3 linked regions of the Neurospora crassa OR74A genome follow. The protein of the gene in region 2 purifies or fractionates together with the protein of the main gene of each other region. This does not show direct contact. Links are inferred from orthologs where the notes say so. Each region holds a gene or a part of one and is shown on either strand. Other genes may lie near its edges.

Region 1 (5,062 bases), on a different chromosome or scaffold from region 2:
TGAGCTTGGTAGTTCGAATCCCCACTGACTAGAGGTCGGAAGGCTTGCTTCGGCGACCATTGGACGCTGTGCTGAAAAGATTCGCCAATGAGGGTGTTTGCGCGGCCATGTTCCATCACACGAGCTGAGAAGCACACGTCAAGCGTTCGTCCTCATAAGAGCCGCATCGTCCGGGTTATGACAAGTGAGAAATGTGATGTCGGTCAGGGTGATTTGAGAGTCGTCGCCGCCGTCGTTTGTTGCCATCGTCGGTCGGAATGTGTGAAGCTTCCATAGGAATTCTGGAAGAAACAGCGACGGCGGTCCACAACATGGAATCCCACGAGCGTCTTTAAATGTCTTGCAATGACCTCGGACGCTTCTCCACAAGCTGCTGCAAGATGAGCTGGCAGGGCACCAAGCAGCAAGGTCCAGCACGTCCAGCACATCACAGCACACACTTTCGCTACACCAAGGAACCATAGCAAAGTGCACGGCAGGGCAAGCGGACGGATTTGGCAACATTTCCAGCAATAGTACCATCAGGCTTTGCCGGGCCATCAGCTATATAGATACCAGCCTCATTCGGTTGCTGCTGGCTGGCTGTCCCATTACGTCGTGTTCGCTTTGCTGTCAATGTTGCGCCCTGTCTGCGCCCGGGTTGCATGTAGTGTTTATGCGTTTCGCCCTGTTCCATGTCTCCTTGTTTATTTATTCCTTTGTCTTTTTGGTCCGAGGCGACGTGCTACGTATGGGAGGTCCTTCCAGAAAGGAGGGAGAGCATGGTTCAACGACGTTGCACACAAAGACAAGCCCGGCGGGTCCCTGACATATGAGATCAGATACAGCATATATCGAAGCCAGAAACCGTCAGAGACACTACATCCGCCGCAGTACCTTTTCCTAAAGGCAATGTATAAAGCTTGAAAAGTAACCAGTGCTTTATCAAGAGCGCCACGCAATTGCAGCAGTTTCGCATTCCGATGGAAGAGGGGGCACGATATGTGGTTGTTGTTCCACAGATGGCGATGGCCGCACAGGTTGGGACGGAAACGCCAGTACAATGCAGACCCTTTGGGCTCATATAGGTTGTCGGACGTCATCGGTGTTGAGACGTGAAATGACATGGAGGGTTGGGTTTAGCATATCCGGAACCTAGATCCTAAGCTTCCCCATCCGGATATCCCCAGACTCCCGCTTTGCTCGAGGCATTCTCTCTCTCCATCACGAGTCCACAGTGGACGAGACACTTGACACCAAGGCCGCCCAATTCCGGACCGTTCGCAATCTTAATTGAATCTGAAGACAAGCCTTCACCCATGTCGAATGGCTGAAAAAATCGCTGCCCAAGGCCGATACTTCCAACGGCAATGTCCATTGATGTGATGAAGTGATGAACTTTTTGCTGGTCGAATGGGAATTCCATGCCATTGCGCCGCCAATTGATGGTGGGGTCAGCATAGCCTTGCCAGCTGCCGAATGCCAATTGGTTTTCAGCTGCCGGGCCGTCGTGGGCTGCCGAGGCTGCCAAAAGCGAAACGCAGAAGTCTGTAGTCTGCGGCAGGCAAGACCAATGAGCACCGGCACAGTGCCGGACAGACCAGCCAAGGTGGACAAGCTCACGGTGGCACGGCCTCAGCTGGATTGCCTGCCACAAGCCGACTCCAGTGGACTGGACTTTTGAATGGCGATCTCTTTGACCATGCGCCGATACCAATTGGCAGTAGCGCCAGACGCCGCGAACGAACAATTCCCATTGCTACGCTCGTCCCCAGACTCTCAGAATTCTGACTGCAACTGGCACAACGCCGAGAAACAGCGACTCCCTCTCTGGTTCGGACCTGCGCGTCGTCTGCCCCAAACAGCTCCCTCTTGCGTCCACCGTCGTCGCCGACCCATCGATTCTCTCTTTGCCCCGGGCCATTATCCAACAGTCAACAACTGAATAATTGCTTCAGCCCATCTGAAGCGTGGCAGTTCGTCGCCTCCAACCCTCTCAGCATCCGAGTCGCCAGCCAGCGGTCCAGTCGCAGTTGAGCATGCTGTCGCAAAGATCAAGGAGCCAAGACAAGAACACCGCAACGGCAACGGAAGAATAACGGCACCAGCGACCGGCATCCTTTTCCTTCCCTTCCTCTCCAACGAAAGCACCACGAAGCACCACACGCTTTGCTTTAGCCGACTACACAGGTACTCGGCCACATCAACTTGCATCATTCTGCCGCTGAGACGAGACGTCACCTTCTTTTCAGCCCGTCGCTCGCTCCACTCTCACCTTCTCATGACCTTTGCGCCTAATCCTACCGACTCCGCCGACCGTCTCCTTTTCCCTAGGTTGCCTCCTCGATCTGCACCTTCTTAGTTTTTTCCTCGACTGCGACCTTCGTACAGCAAACGTGCGCCAAGTGCCCTCGACACACAGACACACAACCGAACCATTACTCACAGTCCCTTATTCGGGTGCGCGCAGGGCGACCCCAGCTGCTGCTGCATCCACCATGGAGGACGGCCATCACTCACCGGATTCGACCAAGGAATCAAAGTCGGAGGAACACTCCAAGATGAACGGCTCCAAGCTAAAACGGGATGGCGCCAGCAACGCCGGCAATGCGGCCACGCCAAACGGCTCCCAGACCGGAATCTCGAGACCCCCAAGCATGTCGCCCGACGAGCACAAGGCTGCGAGTGAGAGCACAGCAACTCCCAGCGAAAATGTCCCGACACAAAAGCCTTCGCGAAAGGCGTCTCAGAAGAACATGAAGAGGGAACCGGTGCTCTTCAACCATCTCCCCGACGTGAGGGAAGAGGCATGCACACATTTCCAGGTCATTCATGACTGTCTCTATGGCTCAAAGAACATGGGTGCATCCGAGCACGATGCGTTGGATTGTGACTGTGCGGAAGAATGGCGTAAGTGAAAATATCTTCGGCGTCCCCTTGCCGCTAGCGTCATGTCCCCTCCGGCCCGCCCGCCCGCCGACACCCCCCCTTAACCGAATACTGACACCTGGCTCATCGTATAGGCGGTGATATGAACCATGCGTGCGGGGAAGATTCAGACTGTATTAATCGGGCCACGAAAATGGAGTGCGTTGACGGCGATTGCAACTGTGGTAGCGGATGCCAGAACCAGCGCTTTCAGCGAAAACAGTACGCCGACGTATCGGTCATCAAGACGGAAAAGAAGGGGTTCGGCCTCCGGGCAAACACGGATTTGCAAGTTAACGACTTCATTTTCGAGTACATTGGCGAGGTCATCAACGAGCCGACATTTCGCAGCCGCATGGTCAAATACGACAAGGAGGGCATCAAGCACTTCTATTTCATGTCACTAACCAAATCCGAGTTTGTTGATGCCACTAAGAAGGGCAACCTCGGCAGGTTCTGCAACCATTCGTGCGATCCTAATTGCTACGTCGACAAGTGGGTGGTTGGTGACAAGCTGCGCATGGGCATTTTTGCGGGGCGCGCAATCAAGGCTGGTGAGGAACTGGTGTTCAACTACAACGTGGACCGCTATGGCGCCGACCCGCAGCCTTGCTACTGCGGTGAACCAAACTGCACCGGTTTCATTGGCGGCAAAACGCAAACAGAGCGTGCAACCAAACTGCCGCCTGCCACCATCGAGGCGCTTGGTATCGAAGATGGAGACAGCTGGGACACGGCGGTGGCGGCCACCGTCAAGAAGCCCCGCAAGAAGAAGGCTACCGAGGACGATGAAGAGTACATCAACCGCTTCGAGCCTCGTGGCCTCGATGAAGAGGGTGTCACCAAGGTCATGGCCACGCTCATGCAGTGCAAGGAGAAATGGATTGCCGTCAAGCTGCTCGGCCGCCTTCAGAATGCCGACGATGACCATGTCCGGAACCGGGTTGTTAAGATGCACGGATACCAGATTTTGAAGACAACCCTCAACACCTTTAAGGAAGACACCAATGTCGTACTGCAGATTCTCGATATCCTGTACCAACTCCCCCGCATCACCAAGAACAAGATTACCGATTCCAACATCGAAGCCGCCGTCGAGCCCCTCACCCATTCCGACCATGAGGATGTCGCGTCGCAGTCCAAACGATTGCTTCAGGAATGGAGCAAATTGGAGACAGCCTATCGCATCCCGCGCAAGAAGCTCGACCCCTCCGCTCCCGTAACCACAAATTCGTTTGAGGATGACCGCCGCAACGTCAATCATGAGGAGCATCCCTCAAGACCTGTCAATCCGTTCGAGAACATGGTTGTGCCCACGGGTCCCCGCAGCAACATTCCCCAACGGAACATGAACTACTTCAACAACCAGAGACCACGCAAGCTTCCAACGAATCTTCCTGCAGGATGGTTTGTCACCACTGACAGCACAGGCAAATACTACTTTTACGACAAGAGCGGCCATACCCAGTGGCAGCGACCTACAACGCCTGCTGTCGACGTGCCCAAGCCCTCTGCCAAGGTGGAACAAAACCAAAAGGCTCTGCAGGATATCATCGACAGTTTGACCAAGGAGCCGACGCCCCGCCATTCTGCGAACCAAACCCCTAAATCTAACACACCCGTGCCAGACAATGGTAAGAAGGAGAAGTGGAGGTCTCTTCCGGTTGAGAAACAGATGAAGATTTACGAAAACACGGTATGTCCAATCCCGGAAGCCAACTGCCCCTCCTATTGCGGTGACGCTAAACAAAGTACTTTCAGCTCTTTCCTCATGTGAAATACGTCATGGACAAGTTTCACCGAAGACTTCCCAAGGAAGACCTCAAGCGGTTTGGCCGTGAGATCAACAAGAAACTGGTTGCTTCCGACTACAAGAACCACCGTGTCGATGACCCTACGACCATTTCCTCCAACCAGGCAAGGAAGATCAAGAAATTTGTCAAGGACTTCTTTGATCGTGCTGTGGTCAAGCACAGGGAAAACGAGCAGCGCGCTGCACAGAAAGCCGGGCCATCATCTTCCGGCGCCCCATCGCCTACCAACGGCGGTTCAGCCAAGTCACCACTTGGCCGTAACGGCGCCAGCAATGCCACCGTCAAGACCCAGCAGCCCGACGCCGATGGCGATATTGTCCTTACAGACGTGGAGGATGAGG
Region 2 (4,456 bases):
AGGCTGGAGAGGTTCTTGTAGGCCTCGTCCTGCTCGGCCTTGATGGCGTCAAGCTCGGCCTGGAGCTTGTTGTACTTTTCGCTGAGGGCCTTGGCCTCGGGGTCCTCCAAGCTGTCCTTGATCTCCTTGATCTTGGCCTTGAGGTCGTCGATCTGCTTCTGGGCATCGTCGAAGCCAGCAAAGCTCTTGCGCTGCTTGCGGAGGTTGGAGATCTCGGCGAGGGCCTTCTTCTCGTCGACGAGCTTCATCATGCCGCCGTTGACCTCCTTCTCCAGGCGCTCAATCTCGCGGTCGAGTTCCTCGGTGGACTTGAAGTTGACCTTGCTGCGGGCAGTCTTTTGCTCGGCAATGCGGCTGCGGAGCTGCTCATCGAGGCGCTTGATCTGGTCGAGCTTGGAGGTGCGGGCATTCTTGCCACCGGCCTGCTGCTGACGGATCTCGTTGAGCTGGGAGATGAGCTCCTGGCGCTTCTTCTGGGTGGGGCTGGGCTGGTCCTTGTTCTTGCTAGGAGCGGCGAGCTCAACCTTGGCCTTGATCTCGTTCTGGATTCAAGGACAATTGGTTAGTCTGGCCTTGTCACATGGCAATTGGAGGCAGCAGCTTCTAGTAGCAAAAGACGTGGTGGTGGTGAGGGTGGCGTGGACGGCAGGGTGCATCGTGAGTGCGAGGGCGGGTGCTCTGACTCCACGGTATCGGGTAGATGCGCTCTTGGTAGCGGCCAGGGCAGGGGACTCACGTATTTCTTCAGGGCCTCCTGATACTCCTTCTCGGCCTTGGCGAGGTTCTCGTTGAAGGCATCCTGATCAGGCTTGTGAGGCTTGGTGGTGGCCGCAGGGGCGGCAGCGGGGGATTGCGACTCGGCCATTGTGTGTGGTGTTGGGGGTTGCTGAAGGAAAAAAAGAAGAAGGAAGAAGAGACGAAAGGAAGGGAATAGTAAGATAAAGACGGGGAAGGGGGACTAGGCAACCGGGGGGCGTGGGTCGGAGCCGGTGGGTAGGTTGGTTGGAGAGCTACTTAGTGTAGAACAGCCGCGGGCGACCTGAGGAAGGATGGGAAGTGGAAGGCAGTGCACGTCCGAGGACCGCTGTTCGGGTCCTGTAGGATAGGATGTACCTCTGGGGTAATCGCTGCTTTGAGATGTGGTTATGTGGATGTGTAGTGGAAGATGGGGTCCAGACTGCCCTGGGGAGAACAATGGCTAGGTAGTGCGGGTGCTGTCAATGCCTGATCTGTTTTGCCCGCATCCAAATTGACAATTGAACGGGAACTAACCTAACTTTGGTCACTTTGAACCCTCAATTCACAGTCCCGTCGCCAGTTCCAAAAAATTCCAAAATTTGTCCCGCTTCAGGCGTGTTCCAGATCTGCAGATCGTGGCCTTTCCCCGACACCGTGTCACGCGTGTCACCGTCTTGGCCTGTGCGCTACTACCTACCCTACCAAGTACATATGGTGCGCTGGTTGGTTGGTTGGTTGGTTGGTTGGTTGGTTGGAGGATGATGATGATAGGTTGAATTGGCTCTTCACTAAGTTCACTTCACTTTGCCCAGCAATGTCCCTCATGGAACATATATGGATCATGGAAGAGGTTTATATAGGTAGTTGGCCGAGGAGAATTAATTTTGTGTACTATCATGTATGTACCGGAAACGCAACTTGAAGTGTATGTCCGCTTTTCCAGTCATGCATAAAACCAGCGCACGCCATCACTGTTCCTCCTAGGTCTTTCACGACTTCAACAAACTGCCTGCCTGAATCAGAAGCCGGTCAACGGTCAACAGCACAGACCATCTGCGCGCTTACTTGTAGTGTCTCACAGGGGTGAAGGCAGCCTCCGGCTCACTGTGGACCCATCCATCTCTTATCGGCCGGCGTGGAATCCTGGAGTGCCCGGGCGTTAGGTCTGATCAATGCGGCCACGCCTCTGGTTTTCGGCGACACCCACCCTTCCCGCAATTTTTTGAGAGCCTTTGTCCTTCAGCCTCGTAAACAGGAAAGTCCTCCAAGCTATCAATCCACCAACACGCCATCCACCATCGCGAACCACCACCTCACCTGCGCAACCTCCACATCACCACCACTCCGCGACGACAAACACTACACTTCAATCGACTGCCCAACACACACAGTCAAAATGGAGGACGACAGCAGCCCCACCAGTGCCTCCAAGGAAGTCTCCCGTCTGTGGAGGGCCTGGAGGACTGTTCACGAGATGGTTCAGGACAGGGTACGCCATCCATCCTTATCACGGCGCTTGCTCGACGCGCCATCGCCCAGAATGATTCGACCTATTCTGACATGTACATGTGCTTCTCGACTATAGGGCTACGAGTTGGCGGAAGACGAAGTCAAGATCTCGCTCGAGCGGTTCAAGGCTGAATACACGAACGAGGATGGAACACCAAAGTGAGTTCCTGCGTCGGCACCCATCACCCCTCCATCACCACCACTTTACGCGTCGCATTTCAAACCTCAAACCACTATCACCTCCCCACCAGACTAACATGACGACACCAAACCACAGCCGCGCCAAGCTCCAATTCTCCGCCCGCCCCTCGGAAGCCATGATCAAAAAGTTCACCGCCCCTCCCACGCCCTCCAACCCCAACCCCGTTCCCGAATGCGGCACCATCTGGGTCGAGTTCTGCACCGAAAAGGGCTCCATCGGCGTGTCCGTCATGAAGAAATTTGTCACCCACTGCTCCGACAACAAGTTCAAAGCCGGCATCTTCATCACCGCCGTCCCGCTTTCTGCCCAGGCCCGCAAGGTCATGTCCGTCACCTCGCAGTACACACAGGTCGAGTGCTTCCTGGAGGAGGACCTGCTGGTCAACATCACGCACCACGAGCTCGTGCCCAAGCACGTGTTGCTGTCCAAGGAGGAGAAGGCCGCGCTCCTCAAGCGGTACCGACTCAAGGAGACGCAGCTGCCGAGAATTCTGAGCAAGGATCCGATTGCGCGGTATCTGGGACTCAAGAGGGGCCAGGTCGTCAAGATCATTCGTGTGTCGGAGACGGCGGGTCGCTATGCTTCTTACAGGCTTTGCGTATAAGGGGGGCAAGCGTGTGTGCGTGAGAGAAGGGGGTGGTTGCGTGCGGTTGGCAAAGCTGGGCTGGCTGGCTGGCTGGCTGGCTGGAGGGCACTACACCAATCCATCCAATCTCTCCCCAGGCTTGATTTGTTCTCTGGACGGTCTTCGACGGGCCAACGCGGGTCTGGCTGGTGGGAATCAGTTGATGACTATATGGACGAGGACTGGATAAGAAGCCTTGGGAAGGGGACGATGACGGCCAGCAGCGAAGCAAGAAAGAAGTGAAAGCACGGCAGCCACCAGCGGGACAGGGAGGAAGGGGTTAGGGGTTCGGTTGTGTAATACAAAACACTTGGGCGTTTTTCTTTTTCTTAACTATTCTAGCATCATGGGGGATACAGGGAAATCAGTTTCTGTTCTTTCGAATTCAAAAGAGGACAAAGAAAGAAAGGCGTTACGGAGTGGCTTTTGTACTAAGTAGCTTGAGATATATACCGACAAGAGAATATCCGAGCTATCATTATGAAATTTTGAGACAAGAGAGATTAGAGCAGTTGGGTACTGTGTTTGCTAATGGGTATATTCACCACGGAGTCTACTATATTAGAGTGCTTATCTGAGCTAGAAGTAGCCCCTGGCTGAATCATCAACATTCAGGTGTTTGGATGCTGACTGAAAGAAAGTTTCGTCAATCCCTTTTGAAATCGGGCATGAGATATCAGAGTTATTGAGCTGTTGATTCGATTGCTCAAGAGTTACTCAGTGACTGGTGACATTGTATTGACCAATACAGAACTATACGCAGCCTCTACCATAAAGTCAAGACACTTATCCTCCAACACTGTAATCCGTTTGTTACATGGCATGTTGACTGTTCAATTATTCATTCATTCCTCTGTTAATACACACCTAAAAGACTCACTCAAGTCCAAATCACGAACCAATCCCAATCCCAATCCCTCTAAGGCCAAACCTCAACCTTCTCCCACTCCCCCTGCACCTCCCCGCCCGCCTCCTTCGCATGATAACTATTTCCCCTCCACAAATACAACCACCGCCTCGCCCTCTTCGCATCCGACAAATCCACCTGATCCACCTCGGTCGGCACAATCACCACCACCCTGAAATTCTTTCTGGCTACCTCATCCTGCAAATCCACCACCTCCTGGCCCAACCCCTCCCCTTTTCCAGGGGGGAACGCCACCGGCTGTCCCGGCGGCGGCCCGCGAAACGTGCCCCTCATGACCGGATTCAAATTTCCAAAATGCGCCGTAACCTCCCTGCTCCAGCTCCATTGCTCCTCATCCTCCTGTGTCTTGCCCTCCAGTCTGCGCATCCGCTGCCGCAACACCTCCCGCACCTTCTTGGCCCCTTCACTGTCCACGTCCGGCCCCAAAAGCCAGGCTGATCCACGGATCCGCCAC
Region 3 (3,898 bases), on a different chromosome or scaffold from region 2:
TTGACCAGGTTGTTGCCAAAGTCTACCGTGGTCGGCAAGTCTGGCGAGGTCTGCATTTGCCCGTCAACCAGAAAGCGAACGTGATGTGTGCCCGGCAGGATATTGATAATAGCAGCGAATACACCCGGTCGGCCCTCACTGTTGGCGAGTAGCGGTGTCAGCAAGGCCCCATCCGTATTGAGAGCGAAAGTGGCCGGGATGTAGAAAGTACTTACACCGGGTGTAATCGTGTCTTCCTGTTCCATTGGAAGATGGTGCCTGTCACGTAAACCTTCTCGCCGCCACGGAGCCATTCGAGCCTGGTGGGGACAGTCGGTCTAGTCTTGTCCACCCGTAGCTCCTCCGTGTCTTCTTCGTCCAGAGTTGAGCTGTTACTCAAGTTGGAAGAGCGTCTGGTGAGCGCGGTGAAAGTGTCGGCATCCTCGAGTGGGACCCCAATGTCGGTCGGGGCAATGATAGGCGATCCGGGTGTGTGGACCTCTTCCTCGATCGGCAGAGGTAGTCGCGGCGGCCTGGTCAGGTACGAGACATCTTGCAGACTGCTCAGCTGCATAGCCGCAGTCTCAAAGGCATCCGATCTCTCTGATAGCGGTGATCGCACCGGCGACCTAGGTGAGCACGACGAGGCGTGGCAGGGTGTGGGCACGGCTACAGGTTTCGCGGGCTCATGACTGTCTTCGGGTCTCAGCTGTCTTACTTCGACAGGTTTGGTGGGGGTGGCAGAGCTGGTAGGCACCGACGAGCCCGGCGAGCCGCTCTGAGAAGGTGGCATTCGCGAGTGCAGCGACTTGGGACGAGCGGTGGTTGAGGGCGGCTGGACGGCGGTGCCCTGGGCCTGGGTCAAGGAGGGCTCAGGAGGGGCAGCGACTCGCTGATTTGGGACCGGTATAGGGTGCTTGGTATCGCGCTTCACTGCTCTGGCAGAGTCATTTTGGATGGAAGCCAGCGACTGGTGCTGAGACTGCGATTGAGAGGAGGAGGAGGAGGATTGCGGATTCGGGGTCTTGGAGTCTCTGGAGGTGGAGGGGTTGTTCCCCATTTTCCCTAGCTCGATCGCTGGCGCTGATGACGGGATGGGGTCGCCGTGGTGGTCGGGTCGGTCGAACGGGGTCGTCACAGGTGGTTCGCTGCTACCGCGGTCTGCTGCTGTTACTGCTACACCTGTTCAACAATGCGTCCACCGGGTGCAATCAATTCATCTTCCACTCTCCGGGGTAATTGGCCGAGTTCGGATAGAAGGTGGTTTGACAGTCGAGGGGCTTTGCATGCTACGCCAGCGCTGGTCGTGGCTGTGGTTGTGTGGTTTTTGGGAATTCGAACGACGTTGTCAGGTGTCGTGTCGTAATAGAGTTGGAGCAGGCAATATCGCAGCAAACTGGAAGATGTGATGATTCGAGTCGTGTCGAATCGAGGATGCGCGAAACAAGTGGAAGAAGTGGAAGTCGAGAGAATGACGGGTAGGTAGAGAGCTCAGTTCAGTTATCAGAGTATCACTGCAGCAGTTGACTGTCCTCCCTTGGGCCAAAAAGCACAGCTGCCATCCACCTGGTTGCTCGATAAGAAGCGGGCGACCACTGGCAACTGAATGGAACTCGGATGCAACGCCCCGGACTCGGCGAACAGAGTTGAACTGTGGATGAGTGTGAGACGGCGCCCAGCCCAACTGCACGGCAGTGTCTCCACTGTCCACCTCCAGGCATCGGCCCCAGCTTCCACTTCGGCCCCCACCTTTCCCACATTCTCTCCTGCTTCTCTAGCTCCTGGACCGTGCGCCCCTTGCATGTCAACTCCTGGCCCGCTGTGAGACCTGGAGCTTGCGCTGGCGCGACGCGGCAGGCAAGAGAGGCGGCCGATCTTCTTTCCAGAGAACAACTTATCGATGTTCACATGCATTCCTCTAAAGAACATCACCCTCCTTCGTCAAGTGTCCTTTTCCAGTTATTCATTCACTCGCTCAGCTATTCGTAGACGAGTGAGTTATCGGTTTCCGCCCCCAAAGTTACCAGTAACATCGCCATCCCTACACATCTCCCAAAAATGTCGGAGAACTACGTTGCCCCCGGCCAGCAGCGCTACCTTCGTGCCTGCATGGTCTGCTCTATCGTCATGACCTATGCTGTAAGTCGAGCTGCCCTTCCTCGTTTCTAGTCACTCTATGACCGACAAGTTTCTGACCTTTTTTGTTTTTGTCATAGCGCTTCCGTGACGAAGGATGCCCCAACTGCGAAGACTTCCTCCATCTCCAGGGCTCGCCGGATCAGATCGACAGCTGCACGTCGCAAGTCTTTGAAGGAATCATCACCATTGCCAACCCGCAGAAGTCGTGGGTGGCGAAGTGGCAGAGGCTGGACGGTTATGTGAAGGGTGTATACGCGACCAAGGTGTCGGGCCAGTTGCCGGATGACGTGCGCACCACGTTGGAGGATGACGGCATTCAGTATATCCCGTAAGTTTCCTGCTTACACTCGTGTGGTCTGGCGAAGCAGGCTATGATCGTGGGGTTTTCGGGGCACAGCCAGAAACTAACTTGGAGCAGGCGCGATGGCAGTGCGACGGAAGCGGACTAGAAACTCGAAGCTGCGGTGCAAGAAAACAAGACGGAATAGGGCGGATAAGAAAGCAGGAAAGAGAACCGACAAGCAAGAAGGAAGAGGGACCGATAATAGATCGTTCACAGACAACCCAGGAGCGGAATGCGGAATGCCTGTTAAAGGGAAGGCAACAGGAGTTCAAGGCGTTAAGGCTGGTTTAAAGGGCGTGGTCTAGACAGCAGGATAGTGGCCATTTTTTGGGTTTTGCATGATCAACCCAGGGCTATAATTACACACTGCAGCGAAATACAACAATCATACAAATGAGTTTATCACTACCTAACCTATATGGAAGATTATTCATCCAGCTACGGATCCCTTTTACGAAAACCCCAATGCAATATGGTATCTTTTTTTTAAACATTTCCCATCACGCCGAAAACGCCCCTATAACATGTACCGAAATATTGCCAAACCCGGAGATAGCATAACCTTTGACCAGTTACCCACGTGAGACTCCACAGTATGTTAAAACTGGAAGCGTGGCTTCTTGTTGGGAAAGTTCCCACCCTTCTCCTCGCGAGCCCTCTTGCGCTCCAACTCCTCCTTCATTATCCTCTCGGCCTCGCTCATCTTCTTGGGCGGAGCAGCCATAACCTTCTTGGGAGCCCCAGCAAACGCATTCTTGAAGACGTTCTTCGGTTGGGGCTTCATGCCGAACTTCATAGATACCGGCTTCGTGGCGGGAGCAGCGGCAGCAGCAGGACCAGCAGGACCAGCAGTCGAGTCAACCGCGGGTTTGCTTTCCTCTGCCGTCGTCTTGGCAGTGGCCTCTTCGCCCTTTGAACTTGCTTCCACCTTTGCTTGCTCAGAGCTTACACCGTCCGTCGTCGTCTTCGTTATTGTCGAAGGTGGCGTCACGGTATCCTTCTTCTCCTCCGCAGCAGGAGGAACCGATCCGTCCCCAGCACCCGGTGTTGGCATTGCCGCCGCCGATGTCGAACCCTTCTCACCCTCACCCGACCCCGACCCGGGCTCCTCTTTCTTTGTTGTGGCCGATTTTCCAAAACTCAACTTAATCTTCTCCCCCTCCCTCCTCTTCAACTCCTTCCTCTCCTCCTCCTCCGCATCAAAGCTAACCCCCCTCGCCTCGGCATCCTTTTGCGCTCTCTTAATTTGCTCCCTCAAAGCCCTTTGCTCCCTCTCCTCATCCCCCTTATCCATCATCTCCTTCCTCCTGACCTTCTCCCTCCTCTCCATCGCCTCGGGAGAATCATCAATCCACGCCACAAACAACCCCTCCCCCTCCTTCTCCTCCACCCTACACAACCCTTCCCTGCCCAAAAACTTTGCAAACTCTGTGAGGG

Evidence for each region. Proteins that work in one complex are often made in the same cells at the same time.
Region 1: the proteins of NCU05305 (region 2) and set-2 purify together in Saccharomyces cerevisiae (affinity purification with mass spectrometry; 3 studies listed by BioGRID). This does not show direct contact. The link is inferred for Neurospora crassa OR74A from reciprocal best matches to the Saccharomyces cerevisiae genes RPB5 and SET2.
Region 3: the proteins of NCU05305 (region 2) and NCU03838 purify together in Saccharomyces cerevisiae (affinity purification with mass spectrometry; 3 studies listed by BioGRID). This does not show direct contact. The link is inferred for Neurospora crassa OR74A from reciprocal best matches to the Saccharomyces cerevisiae genes RPB5 and SPT4.

Annotation. Positions count from the first base shown.
Region 1 is NC_026503.1:3,234,722-3,239,783, forward strand, and holds the start of set-2 (histone-lysine N-methyltransferase), read left to right. Parts: upstream 1-1,751; 5' UTR 1,752-2,477; coding exon 2,478-2,889; intron 2,890-3,002; coding exon 3,003-4,603; intron 4,604-4,668; coding exon 4,669-5,062. UniProt on the Saccharomyces cerevisiae protein: Histone methyltransferase that trimethylates histone H3 'Lys-36' forming H3K36me3. Involved in transcription elongation as well as in transcription repression.
Region 2 is NC_026504.1:5,395,275-5,399,730, reverse strand, and holds NCU05305 (DNA-directed RNA polymerase II polypeptide), read left to right. Parts: upstream 1-1,892; 5' UTR 1,893-2,134; coding exon 2,135-2,227; intron 2,228-2,323; coding exon 2,324-2,406; intron 2,407-2,524; coding exon 2,525-3,053; 3' UTR 3,054-3,673; downstream 3,674-4,456. Other genes in the region: NCU05304 (nuclear segregation protein), read right to left, coding at 1-542, 737-865; NCU05306 (hypothetical protein), read right to left, coding at 3,994-4,456. UniProt on the Saccharomyces cerevisiae protein: DNA-dependent RNA polymerases catalyze the transcription of DNA into RNA using the four ribonucleoside triphosphates as substrates.
Region 3 is NC_026505.1:2,571,522-2,575,419, forward strand, and holds NCU03838 (transcription elongation factor spt-4), read left to right. Parts: upstream 1-1,694; 5' UTR 1,695-2,037; coding exon 2,038-2,118; intron 2,119-2,195; coding exon 2,196-2,446; intron 2,447-2,536; coding exon 2,537-2,567; 3' UTR 2,568-2,887; downstream 2,888-3,898. Other genes in the region: NCU03837 (Snf1 kinase complex beta-subunit Gal83), read right to left, coding at 1-138, 216-1,039; NCU03839 (APF1), read right to left, coding at 3,060-3,898.